Drosophila melanogaster: one gene and its partners. The gene in region 1 interacts genetically with each later gene. Each region holds a gene or a part of one and is shown in the gene's direction. Other genes may lie near its edges.

Region 1 (4,965 bases):
TCATGATGATCCTGCGTCGCAACCCCAATTTCGATCTGGATGTGCTGCGTCGCCAGTTCCCCGATGTCAACGTGGACAAGCTGCGCAACGAGGACAAGATTCGTGGTCACTATGTGCCCAAAGTTGGCGTGTGAGCAGCAAAGCTGCAGTTATTTAGTTATTAAAACAACAAAATACCATTGACATCATCTTTAATCTTCGTCAAACTTAATCTTTGTGCCCTGAAACGCGGCAATTTTCGGCTTAAACTTCTGTTTGGCCACCCAAGACGGGTGCATGCCATCGGTGGGCAAAGGAGCAGCAGTAGCGGTTAATTGATTGATACTTGGAGCAATAATTTCCGCCGCCTGGCCGTCGTCGCCGAATGTAATCTTCTTGCCTCTAAAATCACCAATGATTGGTTTCTGCTGTTGCTTAGCCAGCCAGGAGGGATGACGATCATCAGTTGGCTTTCTCGCTTTGAACTCTGGCTGTCTTTCCGGTTTCTCCCGATATGTGTTCGACCGTCGATCCTCATTGCGGAACCTTTTGACTGGCGGCGGTGCCTGTTCCTCATCAGCTTCGCTGTCATTGTCCCCGGAAAGAACCACGGCGCTGGACAAGTAGGGCTGGCCTGATTCCGTAATGAAGAAGGGATCAACGACATGTGTGGGACGATTATTGTCAAGTTGTGGTTCTTCTTCATCGATACTTGGCTGCCTTTCTAATCGTGGCTTAGGCTTCTGCTCTCTGGCTGGTTTTTTCTCGAAGGGTTTTGGCTTAGATTCTTTCGGTCTGCCTTCTAGTTGTGGCTCTGCATTATTCTCCTTGATTGTATTTAAATTCTGCTTTTTGGAACTGAGCTTAGTTATCTCCGGGTTGATCTGCTCATCAAAAGCTTGTTTTTTCTGAAGGTTTCTTTCTTTTTTGGCTGGTGTTTTAGGTGTCTTTTCCTTTTTGACTTTGAGAACTGGAGAATTTTCAGTTTTTGCAAAAGACTGTGGTATTTCCTGATCATTTACTTTGCTGACTTGAAGAGTGGGCGTTTCCGCAGTTGCTCCATTAACATCTGCATCCACCACTTTGTTCTGCTCTAACCACTCCAGTCGGTTTTTGGTTTGGGCCTTCTGCTCCTTCAGCTCCTTGCGCTTCCTCTTCCGCTCCTCAGTGCGTTCTATTTTGGCCCTTCGCTTGCTCGTCTCTAGGATCTCCTCACGCCACTTGGCCTCCTTATCGGTGGTGCTCAGCTTCAAGGTTTCCACAAACTTGTCCACCAGTCCGTGCATCAATTTGTTTAGCCGCAGCATGGCAATGCCCAGTTCATCCGGCGTGGAGCGCTCGTTAGCAATCACCGCATTGGGATTTGTGCCCTCCTGCAGGAGCGACTGGCGTACCATATCCATATATTTTAGAGCCTTCAACTGGGCCAGGCATTCTGTGTTCTTGCGTAAACGAATCTTTTCCTTTTCACTGTCTGGATTTTTGGCCAGAGCCTCTTTTGTCTTTCGCAGCTTTTGTACGATTTTGGCGATGGTCTGGGCGCGTGCCTTTTGAATGACCTTCTTGTTGGATATCACCTGTAAAAGTTCTTTTTAATTAAAACTCTATAATTTTAAATAAAATCGTTTATTTACCAAATTATTGAATTTCAATCTGTCCATGCTGTTTTCGTTACAGTGGTGGTTGAAATAATAGACTCAGGCTTGAGTCCGTGCTAAGAAACGGTGATGCCAGCCCGTTGAACTTAAATTAACAATTATTAAAAGCAGAAAGCGTCTGCCAGTTTTTACAGAAAGCTGTATTGATCAAATCATTTATTAGTTTAAGCAAATTATAGAGAGTCGACTGAAGTGCATCCACCTCTTTAGATTAGTTTTCATATAGCAATCGCTATTGCAAGTCCATCGATGGTGCCGGCCAGAATGCAGCCATCGCTATCGATAGTGCCATCGGCTTGGTGCCAGCTCTAGTATCTTCACAGCTACGTACAGCCTAGATTTCATCTTCATTTCACATACGGATTTATTGTTTTCCTGCGCTGTTAATTGCAATTACCGCACGGCAATTAAATTGGTGCCATCGAGGAGTACCGCCTGTCGCACCGTTAGCCGCGAAAGTGACGTGAAACGTGCCCAGCAACTGCGCCGCGCGCGAGAAGAGAGAGGCAGAGTATTGATAGAGAGGAGCGGAGCGGAAAAACAAGGAGGAGCTAGCTGAAGAGGCAGCAACAAAGAAGGTCCGCAGCCCCGGCAGGCAAAAGAAAAATAATAAAGAAAAGGGCTAAAAACAACGCCGCCGAATTAGCAAATTCACCTAGTTAACAACTCGGCTATGGGGGAGACTAACTAATTTGCATTGAGCGAATGGGTTTTAATTTTAGTTTGAGTCATTGATCTCTTTTTCCCATTTTTTTTTGTGTTGCCCGTCTGGCTGTGTGCATGCAGTGGTGCGTGTGTGTTTGTGCGAGTAAGCGCCTAGTCACAGTGACTCAGTGACGTGCATTAATTCCTGCCTAATTATGCGTTTAATTTATTTTAATCAATCTTAATTAATAATTTACTCCACTTGCAGCCCATACACGCACAGTCACCCACACAAACACACGCAACAAGCGTACGGAGAGAGAGACTGCATCTGCGGGCGCTTCACAAGAGAGTAAGCATCGATCGCGAGAAAGAGACTGTTACTGTGACATTTGACTACGGCAAATCGAAAACGGACGCCACAGCCAAATGACGGAATACAAACTGGTCGTCGTTGGAGCCGGAGGCGTGGGCAAGTCCGCGCTCACCATCCAGCTAATCCAGAACCATTTCGTGGACGAGTACGACCCCACAATCGAGGACTCTTACCGAAAGCAAGTGGTTATCGGTGAGTTATATGTACTTAGATCTGGCAAAGCTAGGGCTGCACAGGTCCAAATACTCTAGAGATTTCTGCACCCTTTCGCTGGTTTGGTTTCCCGTTTATACTAGAAGAGACCTTAAGAAGTTGCGATATTCAAATGCATTTTATATTCCCCTGCAGATGGAGAGACCTGCCTGCTGGACATCCTGGACACCGCCGGCCAAGAGGAGTACTCGGCCATGCGGGATCAGTATATGCGGACTGGCGAGGGATTCCTGCTGGTCTTTGCCGTCAACAGTGCGAAGTCCTTCGAGGATATCGGCACCTACCGTGAGCAGATCAAGCGCGTAAAGGATGCCGAAGAGGTGCCCATGGTGCTGGTGGGCAACAAATGTGATCTGGCCTCGTGGAACGTTAACAACGAGCAGGCAAGAGAGGTGAGTACCGGCCTTCAGAGTTCCGAGCGAACATTCCGTTAATTATGGTTGTTCTCAGGTGGCCAAACAGTACGGCATTCCATACATTGAGACATCCGCCAAGACGCGCATGGGCGTGGACGATGCATTTTACACACTGGTGCGCGAAATCCGCAAGGACAAGGACAACAAGGGGCGGAGGGGCCGCAAAATGAACAAGCCGAATCGTAGATTTAAATGTAAAATGCTCTAAACGGCCACGCATTGGTTATTATTCACTTTTTATTTCTTCAAATGTCGCCTGTTTGTCTGTATGTGCGTCGGCGAATCGCCGATCGTCCTGGGCTCGATGGTTTGTCCATTTTGGACACACAATGCGAAAAACACACACATGTGGGAGCGTGTTGGTCGGTGCAATTGTCAGATAAAAGAAGAGAAATTGTAATTAATTTAAGTAACTAGAGTTTTATGTACGTCGAAATGATTTTGTGAATGTGTGTGTTTTGTGTCGTTTGAAAGGCTGCGAGGCGCCCTTTTAAGAGTATTAACAATAACAAGCAAACAAAAACGAACGAAGCAAATCGAAAATGAAAATGAATATGTACCTCTACATAAAAACTATGAATACTGTTGTAACTGCCTTGGTTCAGCTGCTATATCCGTTTGTTTTCAACCAGCACTTAACTTGATTCTATGTTGTTTGTACTTCAACAGATACTCCGTGCTTAAAACCGAAACGCGATGTAAACAAATATTGTGTATTTTTACAGCCCTGTTATCTATTGGTTTCAACCCGACAGTCATACATAAATGTAATCTTTTTTCGCACACACGCACGAGCAGAATTCCATTAGTATTCATCATTAGAGAACAAACAAGCAAAAGCCGATAAGCTCACAGCAACTTTCGCACAAACGAGTAAATTCGCTAGCCCCAAACTAGATTTATGTTCGGTTAAACACATATCTGTGGTGCTACGATGATGAAATTATAATCCGTATGAGTTCTTGAGATTTGCCTTTCTTTCTACTTACCATACTGACAGATCAATCGGAGAGAAAACAAACAGCCAATTAAATTTACATTATATAGTTTGCTTTAAGCTTTTTATACATACATACATACATTTAATATTTAATTTTTTGTATTAATTTTTGCCATACAAAAAGAAACGAAATAAATCGATTGTGTGTACTATTTATGAAAAGTGGTTTTAGTTATTCCATAGTTTTGCTTTTGTGGATTCTATTTTTCCATCTAAAGTCTCCTGTCTTGTTGAGCCAAATATTCTATTATTTGAATTTTTGCGTTGCGCGCGTAAATTGCAGTATGCCTACATTTCGATAATTCGAAGAGCATTTTCGAATATCGGCGATGTCTAGTCGATAGAAATCTGAGACACGTCCAAATATCAAACCATCGATGAATGTGCTGTCATCGTATCACTGTCAACTCTAACATAGACTTTTGTACGGTTTTCTATTGATCTCGGAAACTGTAGTTTGTCACAAGCGTTTGTTCATTGTATAAAATTTACTACGCCGAAAGCAGCAAAATAGAAATATTACCAGTATTAAGAGCACAGCCAACATCAAAAGGTAAGCCATAACGCTAGCATAGAAAAGAACATTTGGCGAAAAAGTCGATTGACGCGGTCGCCATTTTGTTTTCGCGGACGCCGCTCCGGGTGTGTACTACTACGAATATTGCAAGAACTACAAAA
Region 2 (7,775 bases), 4.0 Mb from region 1:
CCAATGCCGCAGACTCCGTTTTATTCCACAATTTTCTTTTCCAGCAAAGCAACAGTGTAACCAACTCACATACTTGGAATTATACCAAGTCTTCGCATCACCAGTGTTGACAATTTTATAGGAAACTACACTGTCAAGCTCTCTTTAGTTCAGTTCAAAAAAATTTTAAAAAATATAACTTTCTAATGAAAGTTCAGTTCAAAAAAAAATTTTAGAAGAATAATAAAATAAACAATTTTAGAATAAAAAAATTATGTAATAAAAAAATCCATCTTAAATTTAAGATAAGACCTGTGCGGCAGTTAATCTCAGTGGTCTAAGGTCAGCAATGATCGAATATGTATTTATTAAATTCAAATTTCAAAAACACCCGTATGCAGAGGAATCGATGGCGATAACAATGGTAACAAACGCGATTATCTTACGAAGTAATTTCCAAACACTGGTTTATAGGGAACAAACAAATGTACCTGTCATTATAAATATTTTGAGACTTCCTTTAACATATAATTCTCTTTGGCAGTATTTAATTTAGTGGATTAAATTATCCATTATTATTTCGTAAAGCCACTTAAGAAGAATCACCTTGTAAATATTTATAAGGATAAACGTTTTTACGTAGTTATAAATTGACCTAAATTTGCCTAAAAAGTACAAGTTGCTTAAGGGCCAATTAAACTAGAGGGTTCGGGGAATAATATGAGTTTTCACATCTGCTTCATTTCACTATTGATACTTGGGTATAATCAATCCCTTCAACATATCAAAGCTGTTTCCATCGGGCTGCACAATTTCTATAGTACCAGTTGGTAATTTCACCTCCAAAAATCCAAAGTCATCGATTCCCACAATTTCGGCCTCTTTTTCCTGATCTTTTTGTAGGCAAATCTTAACAGATTGCCCGCTGTACATAAAAACATGTTAGTAAATGTAATATGCAAATTAAATGTATTTTAAAAATGTTTTAAATTTACCTGTGTAACCATAGCGAATAGTATAATGCATAAAAACTATCAAAGTCTCCGTTTTGTACTTCTCCCAAAAGTCTTTCGATTTCATTGAATATCATGGCAATAAGTAGCTCGTACTTAAGTATAGGTAACTTGTTGTTCGGGACACGGGTATTATATTCTCTTATCAAGTCATTGATGCAAACTGTTGGTCTTGAATTGTTCAAATTAATTCCACTTCCGATATTGACGATGGCTTGGGATCCCTGAAGTGTGGTATTAATGACGAGGCCCCCAATTTTCTGATTTCCATTTGCATAAATGTCATTCGGCCACTTAATGGAAATATCCAGCACCTGAAGGTGATATGAATAAATTAAGTAAAACTCGCCTATCTCCGTAATATTACATATCATAAAATATAAATTGGAACATCAAATATTAACTTAAAAAAATTATTTTTAGTTATAAAATTAAAATATTAAAATAATATCTACCTAATTTCCATTTCCAAATAATAAAATATAAATATTAAAATATTTGACTTATTTCGACTAATAAAATAAAAATGTGAAAATAATTTCTGGATTAATTTTTCAAATAGAATTGAAATATATATGCTATATACACTCGAAGACATAATATAATTACAACATAAGAATAATAATACTTAACGTTCTATTTTTTTTAAATACAGAGGAGTGCCCCTAAGTTTTTCGGATAAGTGCTTTTAGTACATTTTGGTGTGCAGTGAGAAGGAGTCCTCCCGGGTATGGTCACACTTCTCTCGATGCGCTACTTGGGTGTAGAGAAATTTCAACAACAGCCGAGGAACTTGTACAAATTATTGCTTTTTCGCATTGCCTAAGCCGTTTAGAGTTGCGGGCGTTAGCGTGCGCGATAGCCGGAGCACCGAACGTCAAGGTCGCTTGGCGAGGGCCACAATGCGGGGCGGAGTCCCAGCCATTGGTCCCATCGAATCGTCGAGTCCCCGAGGGGGCGTCTGAAAAAATCAATCGGGCTCCACTCCGTCGCGAATAAGCAGGATGAGCAGCAACAACAACGCACCCGCATCGGCTCCAGACACGGGCTCCACCAATGCCAACGATCCCATCTCCGGTTCGCTGTCCGTAGACAGCAACCTGGTTATCATTCAGGACATGATTGATCTCTCGGCCAACCATCTGGAGGGCCTGCGAACGCAGTGCGCGATCAGCTCCACGCTGACGCAGCAGGAGATTCGTTGCCTGGAGTCGAAGCTGGTGCGATACTTCTCCGAGCTGCTGCTGGCGAAGATGCGGCTAAATGAGCGCATCCCGGCCAACGGGCTTGTGCCCCACACAACGGGCAACGAACTGAGGCAATGGCTGCGCGTAGTGGGCCTTAGCCAGGGGACTCTTACCGCCTGCCTTGCTCGCCTGACCACTCTAGAGCAAAGCCTGCGTCTCAGCGACGAGGAGATCCGTCAACTCCTGGCTGACAGCCCCAGCCAGCGAGAGGAGGAGGAACTGCGACGCCTGACCAGGGCCATGCAGAACTTAAGGAAGTGCATGGAGTCGCTGGAGAGCGGTACTGCGGCTAGCAACAACGATCCAGAGCAGTGGCACTGGGACTCCTGGGACAGGCCCACCCACATTCATCGCGGCAGTGTGGGAAACATTGGACTGGGTAACAATTCAACCGCCTCCCCGAGAACCCATCATCGCCAGCATGGTGTCAAGGGAAAGAATTCCGCTCTGGCCAACTCCACCAACTTCAAAAGTGGCCGCCAATCGCCCTCAGCGACAGAAGAGCTGAACAGCACACAGGGTTCCCAGCTGACTTTAACCCTTACGCCCTCGCCACCCAATTCGCCCTTCACGCCTTCCAGTGGGCTGAGCAGCAGCCTTAATGGAACACCACAGAGGAGTCGTGGTACCCCGCCGCCAGCTAGAAAGCACCAGACCTTGCTGAGCCAGAGTCATGTGCAAGTGGACGGGGAGCAATTAGCCCGCAACCGTTTGCCCACTGATCCCAGCCCCGATAGCCACAGCTCCACCAGCTCGGACATCTTTGTGGACCCAAATACTAATGCCAGCTCCGGAGGAAGTTCCTCGAACGTGCTTATGGTGCCATGCTCTCCGGGCGTGGGTCACGTGGGCATGGGTCATGCAATCAAGCATCGTTTCACCAAGGCCCTGGGCTTCATGGCCACCTGTACCCTGTGCCAGAAGCAGGTCTTTCACCGCTGGATGAAGTGCACCGACTGCAAGTACATCTGCCACAAGTCATGCGCACCGCACGTACCGCCCTCCTGTGGACTTCCACGAGAATATGTGGACGAGTTTCGGCACATAAAGGAGCAGGGAGGATACGCCAGTCTGCCGCATGTGCATGGCGCGGCGAAAGGATCCCCTTTGGTAAAAAAGAGCACCCTGGGTAAGCCCTTGCATCAGCAGCACGGCGATAGCAGTTCGCCGAGTTCCAGCTGCACTAGTTCCACGCCCAGCAGTCCGGCGCTGTTCCAGCAAAGGGAGCGCGAGCTGGATCAGGCGGGCAGCAGCTCTAGCGCCAATCTGTTACCTACGCCTTCGCTTGGCAAGCACCAGCCGAGTCAATTCAACTTTCCCAACGTGACGGTGACGAGCAGTGGCGGAAGCGGTGGTGTATCGCTCATCTCCAATGAACCAGTGCCAGAGCAATTCCCCACGGCGCCTGCAACAGCCAACGGAGGACTTGATAGTCTGGTGAGCAGCTCCAACGGGCACATGAGCTCGCTCATCGGTAGCCAAACTTCAAACGCTTCTACTGCGGCCACCTTGACGGGCAGTCTGGTCAATAGCACAACCACCACCAGCACCTGCAGTTTCTTTCCGCGAAAATTGAGCACAGCCGGTGTGGATAAGAGGACGCCGTTCACCAGCGAGTACACGGATACCCACAAGTCAAATGACAGCGACAAGACAGTCTCCTTGTCTGGAAGTGCCAGCACGGACTCGGACCGGACACCCGTTCGTGTGGATTCAACGGAAGACGGAGACTCGGGACAATGGCGCCAGAACTCGATCTCACTCAAGGAATGGGACATCCCGTATGGTGATCTGCTTCTGCTCGAGCGGATAGGGCAGGGACGCTTCGGCACCGTGCATCGAGCCCTTTGGCACGGAGATGTGGCGGTTAAGCTGCTCAACGAGGACTATCTGCAAGACGAACACATGCTGGAGACGTTTCGCAGCGAGGTAGCCAACTTCAAGAACACTCGACACGAGAACCTGGTGCTGTTCATGGGAGCCTGCATGAACCCACCATATTTGGCCATTGTGACTTCATTGTGCAAGGGCAACACCTTGTATACGTATATTCACCAGCGTCGGGAGAAGTTTGCCATGAACCGGACTCTCCTCATTGCCCAGCAGATCGCCCAGGGCATGGGCTACCTGCACGCAAGGGAGATCATCCACAAAGATCTGCGCACCAAGAACATCTTCATCGAGAACGGCAAGGTGATTATCACGGACTTTGGGCTGTTCAGCTCCACCAAGCTGCTCTACTGTGATATGGGCCTAGGAGTGCCCCACAACTGGTTGTGCTACCTGGCGCCGGAGCTAATCCGAGCATTGCAGCCGGAGAAGCCGCGTGGAGAGTGTCTGGAGTTCACCCCATACTCCGATGTCTACTCTTTCGGAACCGTTTGGTACGAGCTAATCTGCGGCGAGTTCACATTCAAGGATCAGCCGGCGGAATCGATCATCTGGCAGGTTGGCCGTGGGATGAAGCAGTCGCTGGCCAACCTGCAGTCTGGACGGGATGTCAAGGACTTGCTGATGCTGTGCTGGACCTACGAGAAGGAGCACCGGCCGCAGTTCGCACGCCTGCTCTCCCTGCTGGAGCATCTTCCCAAGAAGCGTCTGGCGCGCAGTCCCTCCCACCCCGTCAACCTTTCCCGTTCCGCCGAGTCCGTGTTCTGAGGGAACTGCAGCATGGCCACTGTCACTGTCTAGTACAATTTCGATCTACCAACTAAGCTAGCTCGCTTTGTGCCCTCGTCCACTCTACACAAACTCTCTCCCAAGGCGAAGTTCTATCGAGCCGAGCGAAGATTGTAAATACATAAACGTAACTACCAAATTATAGCAATCCATTTTAAAAACTACATACATATGTGTAGGCATGTATCGGGAGCACTCCAGTTGCAGTTGTTAGCAAACGAAACAAAGGCAAATCAAATGTTAACTCGAAAAAGACAAAACGCTTAAATGTTTAAGAGCAGAGGCAAACAGAGAAGGCATAGACATACATATACAAACAAACAAACAAGCACTGTGGCAAACATAAATGTAAACGTTAATCAGGTGAGCAATTTCTAAATTGTTAATTATGTGTAAGAGAACTATATATATATATATATATATATATATATATATATATATATATATACATGTATATACAGCAGCAATGTATTGTATATGACGGACTAGTGTTAAATTAAATATATATTGTGAATTATGTATGGTCAAGTGTATATAGTAAATGGACTTTAAATGCGAAATCGAAACAAAATGTCAAATAAACTTATTAAACCTAAAAAATCACTTTGTGCACTTGGCAGTTTTACAGATCCTGAGGTTCGTCCCATCGTCCCACAGGCGGAGATAATCGAAACAATCTTAACTTAAGATTCAACTAAATGGTAAAACTTTACAGTCTTGACTCACCCCGTACTCTTCATGACTGCGGAGCGAATTAACAATCGCCGTTCCAACAAGGTGCTGCAACAGAGGCAGCCGAGAGCTCAAAGCGCTGTCCATGGTCAGGTGCAGCTGCAGCGAGAACATGGCACAGCCCGGCGGACTAAGCCACTGGAAAGCACAAAGCGATGATTTCAACAAGAACTTAAATCTGGATGCTTCTAGAGTACTAACTTGATTATTTCTGCGACCCACTCCGGACGTCTGCTGCACGGGGAGCACAGCCAGGCCGTGGATGAGCTCCAGGTTGTTTATGAGATGCATGGAGCTGCTGACCACCGGTGCATAGATGACCAGTCGTCCGATGTGTTCCGTCTTAAGATTCTTTAAAATAAGAGGAATTTGGGTTAATTCTGCTATAGACTAGAATTAGAATGCGCTCACATCGAAGTAATCCACGGTGGAGAAGTCATCCGGACAGGAATGTATGAGTATGGGCAGGACATTGTTGTTGGCCACTGGAGGCTTATCGTCCTTGCCACAGAACTTCATCGTCAGGTTCGGCGTTGCTATCACGTTGTCGGATCCGCTGCAGCGCAGACGTAGCTTCTCCAGAAGCTCAAACTTGGCCTGAATAACAAAAAGAGCTAGAATATTGGATTCTGATGCCAAAACAAATGGAGAGACGAACTGACCTCGTGCCGACCTAGGAAATATGCGTGCTTGTAGACAACTCCAGGCTGCGGCTGGTCGACACCGTCTCCACCGCGGACCTGCACATCCAAGTACTTTCCCAGGAGATCCGCAAATATCTCGAGGCGAGTTCGCTCGTTTTGCTTTAGAATGGAGTACTTAGTCTCATCGGATTCAAATTCGCTGGGATTCATTTCCAAGTGCACCTGTTTTTTTTTTTGTTTCATAGGAATGTTTTTTTTTAATATATGTTTGTTATATTTACATGAGCAATCACTTACTTGGGAGAAGACGGCCTTTCCGCCGCTCTGCAGGCTTTTGGCCAACATCAAGCTGGGCGTATTCCAGGTTTCCTCGGTTCCCAGCACATGGACATCCAAATTGTGGCTGTGACCGGCCAGATCCTTCAGTTCCATGGACCTTGGACATACTAGAGCTCTGAGCAGCGTTTCGTGGTTTGATTTGTGTTTTTTTTTCGATTTTTGTTTGTTTTTGGTTTGTTGTTATTTTAGTTATTGGTAGGATGGATTATAATAGTGATAGCACACACATATAGAAGCACACGCAGAAATTTAAGGATTTAGAAGGTAAACGTAGCAGGATGGTGAAAAGGTTTGAAATGCCAAATGTTTATAACACAATTAAACAATTAAATTACATGGATGGCACATTCAATCGATAAAAAACAAGAGTTAAGAGAGCTTACAGAAAACATAGATAGGTTAGTTAGTTAGGCGGATTGAAAACGGAGTTTAGATAGATGGATTACAGTGCACACCGAATCAAATAGAAATTAAGCCATATTTAGAGTAAACGAGACCAATTTGAGCATGAAACATTTGAGAAATAAAATGAGAATTGGAATTGGTTAGAATCGGTTTAGTATAAGAACGATTAATTAGGATTAATTCATTTCATTTCAAGCCCCATTCAGAAAAAGTAATAATATACATAAATGAAACAAGACAGGAGGTTGGTTTCGGCAGGCCGAAGTTCATATACCCTTGCAGAAATTACATATGTATATGTCAAGAAAAAATATAATACAAATTAAAACGGGAATTATATATTCCATTTTTATTTCATTTATTTTTCGATTATTCCTATGGAAGCTATAAGAAATAGAGGACCGATTATTCCCTTTTCTTACTTACATATTTCAGGAGGAAGTCTTTTCATGCAAACAGCTTTAAAACTGAGAGGCTAGAATCCTTAAAACTGGATGAACAGACGGACTTGGCTGGTAAAACTGATCAAGAATGAAGAAAGTGCCTTTTAACCCTTTAAGCCCTGAAAACTTCTGACTGGAAGATATATACCTTCTGCAAGGGTCTAAAAAGTAAAGCGTTATAACTTGGCCTCTTTTTTACAATTTACCCGACGGCTGTGCAATAATCGACTTGAATAGGGCTTTCGGGTGTATAAAACATGCAACATTTCGGTTTCAAATACACTGATACTCAGT
Region 3 (4,401 bases), on another chromosome or scaffold:
TAGGTTCTTGTCCTTGGCCGCTTTGCGGAAACTTCCTTCCACAGTTGTGTCCTCCGTATCGCTCTCCACTCGCTTGATAGCCGCCTGCACCAGGTTAGGTAACTCGTTGTCGCTGGACGAGATTCCGATATCGAGGGTGGGTTTGCTGGCCGACTGTGCCGCCTGGATGATAGCACTTAGCAGCACTCGCGGAGCTCTCTGCTGATGCACCTTCAAGGGCAGATCGTCCTCTGAGTCCGAGGAAAATGCCGAGATCTGTGACTTCTTAGACTTAGACACTTTGTCCGATTTACTAATCCCACTGGAACTTGCCAGCTTCTTGCGCTTGACCTTCACTTTCTTGCTGACCGCTCTATTTTTGGCCTCCGAGCAGCCGGACTCGGTGTCCTGGGTAGACATTTTTCTGGACTTTGGGGGTTTCTTGGTTGCTACGACTCCTAACGTGGGGCGGATGGCCGAGATTCTCATTCGCAGTCCATCGGTGTCCGAACGCTGCACGCTAAACTGGGTGGCTGACTTGATCGACTTCGACTGGCTCGATTGATCCGTAATGGAATCGGTTTCCTGAGGAGAACAACACACTTTACATATAGCATTGCATAAAGGGTGCCATTTTAAAGACTTGCCTCATTTTCACTGCCGGATTCTTGTGCGCGTTGCGTTTCCAGAACCTTTGCTGCTGCCGTCTCATTTTGGCTACAGCTCATATTTTGGAGTCGCTGGGGAGCTGCAAAGGTTCGCTTTTGTTAGCCAAGTGTTTTTAATTCGATTTGGTGGCACTCTTAATCGCCTTTAAAGTAGGTCAAACCGCGGTGACATCGTCCAAAAAAAAAACCATTACCTACAGCACACTTACGCTTGATTGTTTTCTGGGCTAGTAGTAGACCTCAGTAGTCGGTTTCGTTTGTGCCGAAATGACAATCTATTGCTGCACACATTGCATTTGCACTTTTCTTGAGCCTTAGGCCGTGGCTTGCCTGCTTCTAAAATGGCGCCGTTTTCACTTTCCCAAAAACTGCTTTGTTCGACGCCCGACGACGGCGCAACGTTGCAACGCTTCTCGCATGTGGCACATTAATCCGCGGTACCGATAATTCACTTTTTTCGCGACTAGTGGGCGGTGGCGGGGCGCATCAATTGTTATTGTTAATGTGGCGCAACAACAAAAAGCCAGGCAACCAAAAATTTACGAACATAAATAAAGAAAAAGACTGCGTTTCAGTGTGCCCAGCTGGGGTGTACGTGATGTCTACGCGACAGTGTGACCTTGCGGCGGAATTTAGCAGGCAACTATCGCGAACAATAGTGGATTCTATTCAAAAATAGCTGGAAAAAAACAAGCCGATTATTGTATAACAATGTGAAACCAGTAATATTAATATGACATTTTTTATGAATTAAAAATGAATTCTTATATTTTTTTTACTATTGTAACTAAATATTTGTTATGGGAATATATTCCTTACATGAACTCGCAAATAGCAAAATTTTAGGTGACCATAAAACTAATTATAGCAGACGATATGAAACAACAAAAAAGCCAGAATAGCTAGATTTTCTCTTTTGGGTGTGTGCACACTGGCCGAGCAGCTCGGCGATTATTATTTGTTTATTTGTAAAAACCTGGGAAATGAGTGGAAAACCGTCGAAACCGAGCAGCCCCTCCAGCAGCATGCTGTACGGCTCCAGCATCTCGGCGGAGTCCATGAAGGTGATCGCGGAGAGCATCGGAGTGGGCTCCCTGTCGGATGACGCCGCCAAGGAACTAGCGGAGGATGTGTCCATCAAGCTGAAGAGGATTGTACAGGATGCGGCCAAGTTCATGAACCACGCCAAGCGGCAGAAGCTCTCAGTGCGGGACATCGACATGTCCCTTAAGGTGCGAAATGTGGAGCCGCAGTACGGTTTCGTAGCCAAGGACTTCATTCCATTCCGCTTCGCATCTGGCGGAGGACGGGAGCTGCACTTCACCGAGGACAAGGAAATCGACCTAGGAGAAATCACATCCACCAACTCTGTAAAAATTCCCCTGGATCTCACCCTGCGCTCCCATTGGTTTGTTGTGGAGGGAGTGCAACCCACTGTGCCCGAAAACCCCCCTCCGCTCTCGAAGGATTCCCAGTTACTGGACTCGGTCAATCCAGTTATTAAGATGGATCAAGGCCTAAACAAAGATGCGGCAGGCAAACCCACCACCGGCAAGATACACAAGCTGAAAAACGTGGAGACCATTCATGTCAAGCAACTGGCCACGCACGAGTTGTCCGTGGAGCAGCAGTTGTACTACAAGGAGATCACCGAGGCGTGCGTGGGATCTGATGAGCCGCGGCGCGGGGAAGCGCTGCAGTCGCTGGGATCCGATCCTGGCCTGCACGAAATGCTTCCCCGCATGTGCACCTTCATTGCCGAGGGAGTTAAGGTCAATGTGGTTCAGAACAACTTGGCGTTGCTTATTTACCTCATGCGCATGGTTCGTGCGCTTCTGGATAATCCTTCGCTGTTTCTGGAGAAATACGTAAGAAATTTCTTATTGTATTGTTCTTTGTTTCTCATAAAAACGATGTTGTCTCCGCATAGCTCCACGAACTGATACCCTCGGTGATGACGTGCATTGTGTCCAAACAGCTGTGTATGCGCCCCGAGCTGGACAATCACTGGGCCCTGCGAGACTTTGCCTCCCGACTGATGGCTCAAATCTGCAAGAACTTCAATACCCTAACCAACAATCTGCAAACCCGTGTCACCCGGTAAATCACATCCACTTAAATTAAATAACCTTTTAACATCCATTTCCCAACCTTCAGCATCTTCAGCAAGGCCCTGCAGAACGACAAGACCCACCTGTCCTCGCTTTACGGCTCTATTGCGGGTCTCTCGGAGCTGGGGGGCGAAGTCATAAAGGTTTTCATCATACCCCGCCTTAAGTTCATATCGGAGCGCATTGAACCTCACCTGCTCGGCACCTCCATCAGCAACACTGACAAGACAGCAGCAGGTCACATCCGCGCCATGCTTCAGAAGTGCTGTCCCCCGATTCTCAGGCAAATGCGCTCAGCGCCAGATACAGCGGAGGACTACAAGAACGACTTTGGCTTCCTGGGGCCGTCGCTGTGCCAGGCAGTAGTCAAAGTTCGAAATGCGCCCGCCTCAAGCATTGTAACCCTGTCATCCAACACTATCAACACGGCACCCATCACGAGTGCAGCACAAACAGCAACAACCATCGGACGAGTGTCCATGCCCACCACACAGAGACAGGGGTAAATAACACTTTTAAGCATAAAATAAAATTCCAGCCAAGCATTTGATTCCTAATGGAAACCATGTTGACATGTCTTTTTATGCCCATTACTAAGCGGTTAAATATTCTTTTGTTTTAGAAGTCCCGGAGTCTCGTCCCTGCCGCAAATAAGAGCCATTCAGGCCAACCAGCCGGCGCAAAAGTTTGTGATAGTCACCCAGAACTCGCCGCAGCAGGGCCAGGCGAAGGTGGTGCGGCGTGGCAGCTCTCCGCACAGCGTGGTCCTCTCCGCGGCCTCCAACGCTGCCAGTGCCTCCAATTCGAACTCAAGCTCGAGCGGCAGTCTACTAGCGGCTGCACAGCGGAGCAGCGATAATGTGTGTGTTATTGCCGGTAGCGAAGCGCCAGCAGTTGATGGTATAACAGTTCAATCTTTCAGAGCATCCTAGACGCCAACTCGCTGATCATTGAGACGGAGATTGTGCGCGCACCGCCCGAGCTGGACGATCTCTCGCACCTGGAGTAGCCAGCTTAGTTCGTAGTCCACATTTTGTCATATTGTATGCAATAAAATAAAAAATGCGGGTTCCTACCCCAAAAAAATGTAACCACACAAATAGGAAGAATATTAAATCATTATTTTCACACGTTTTGTGTAAAATGGATTTAGTTCTTCTTAGCAAGCAAAAAAAAAAACATTATTTAAGGATTTCCCATAGAAATATTAAGCTACAGTTCTGTAAATAACGAACTGTTGAAATCAACTGACTGCTCTCCCACCCCACAAATCGAAAGCTTGCCCACGCAGTCAGCACGCATGTGCGGGTATGGGCCCCCAAGTGGCTTGCTATTGATTTCTCCAGCGCATTGCTGGGTGAACGCACAAAGAGCTCTGCTCAGCACTCCTTGTAGATACCCATCGCAGGACAAAGGCAAAGCTCGAAACGCTTCTGGCAGCATTTTCAAAGGATAAAAAGGAATTCTCACAAAAACCCAGGAAAGATGCATGCCAGATTTGCGGATCCCGAGCCAGCGTCTCCGGACAGCGTTGATGGAATCGAAACGGAGTCACTGGAGGCGCGGATTGAGGCCTTCAAGCAAAATCCCCAGAACATGGCCGCGTTGCGGGAGGCGCTCGACGATGTGCTCCTGCGGGCTGA

Evidence for each region.
Region 2: of Ras85D (region 1) and ksr, changing one suppresses a phenotype caused by changing the other (phenotypic suppression), as found in Drosophila melanogaster (3 studies listed by BioGRID).
Region 3: of Ras85D (region 1) and Taf6, changing one suppresses a phenotype caused by changing the other (phenotypic suppression), as found in Drosophila melanogaster (3 studies listed by BioGRID).

What each region holds. Positions count from the first base shown.
Region 1 is NT_033777.3:9,510,038-9,515,002, reverse strand, and holds Ras85D (Ras oncogene at 85D), read left to right. Parts: upstream 1-1,935; 5' UTR 1,936-2,215; intron 2,216-2,550; 5' UTR 2,551-2,711; coding exon 2,712-2,850; intron 2,851-3,006; coding exon 3,007-3,263; intron 3,264-3,321; coding exon 3,322-3,495; 3' UTR 3,496-4,442; downstream 4,443-4,965. Other genes in the region: mRpL47 (mitochondrial ribosomal protein L47), read left to right, coding at 1-134; Rlb1, read right to left, coding at 192-1,556, 1,614-1,640. UniProt on the Drosophila melanogaster protein: Ras proteins bind GDP/GTP and possess intrinsic GTPase activity. Plays a role in eye development by regulating cell growth, survival of postmitotic ommatidial cells and differentiation of photoreceptor cells.
Region 2 is NT_033777.3:5,477,859-5,485,633, reverse strand, and holds ksr (kinase suppressor of ras), read left to right. Parts: upstream 1-1,727; 5' UTR 1,728-1,996; coding exon 1,997-4,897; 3' UTR 4,898-5,644; coding exon of another isoform or gene 5,645-5,788; 3' UTR 5,789-5,851; coding exon of another isoform or gene 5,852-6,001; 3' UTR 6,002-6,061; coding exon of another isoform or gene 6,062-6,247; 3' UTR 6,248-6,312; coding exon of another isoform or gene 6,313-6,516; 3' UTR 6,517-6,591; coding exon of another isoform or gene 6,592-6,748; 3' UTR 6,749-7,244; downstream 7,245-7,775. Other genes in the region: Hcs (holocarboxylase synthetase), read right to left, coding at 727-904, 975-1,306, 5,645-5,788, 5,852-6,001, 6,062-6,247, 6,313-6,516, 6,592-6,748.
Region 3 is NT_037436.4:19,597,530-19,601,930, forward strand, and holds Taf6 (TBP-associated factor 6), read left to right. Parts: upstream 1-1,558; 5' UTR 1,559-1,630; coding exon 1,631-2,515; intron 2,516-2,577; coding exon 2,578-2,747; intron 2,748-2,804; coding exon 2,805-3,260; intron 3,261-3,380; coding exon 3,381-3,690; 3' UTR 3,691-3,853; downstream 3,854-4,401. Other genes in the region: ash1 (absent, small, or homeotic discs 1), read right to left, coding at 1-564, 627-707; CG9368 (uncharacterized protein), read left to right, coding at 4,244-4,401. UniProt on the Drosophila melanogaster protein: TFIID is a multimeric protein complex that plays a central role in mediating promoter responses to various activators and repressors.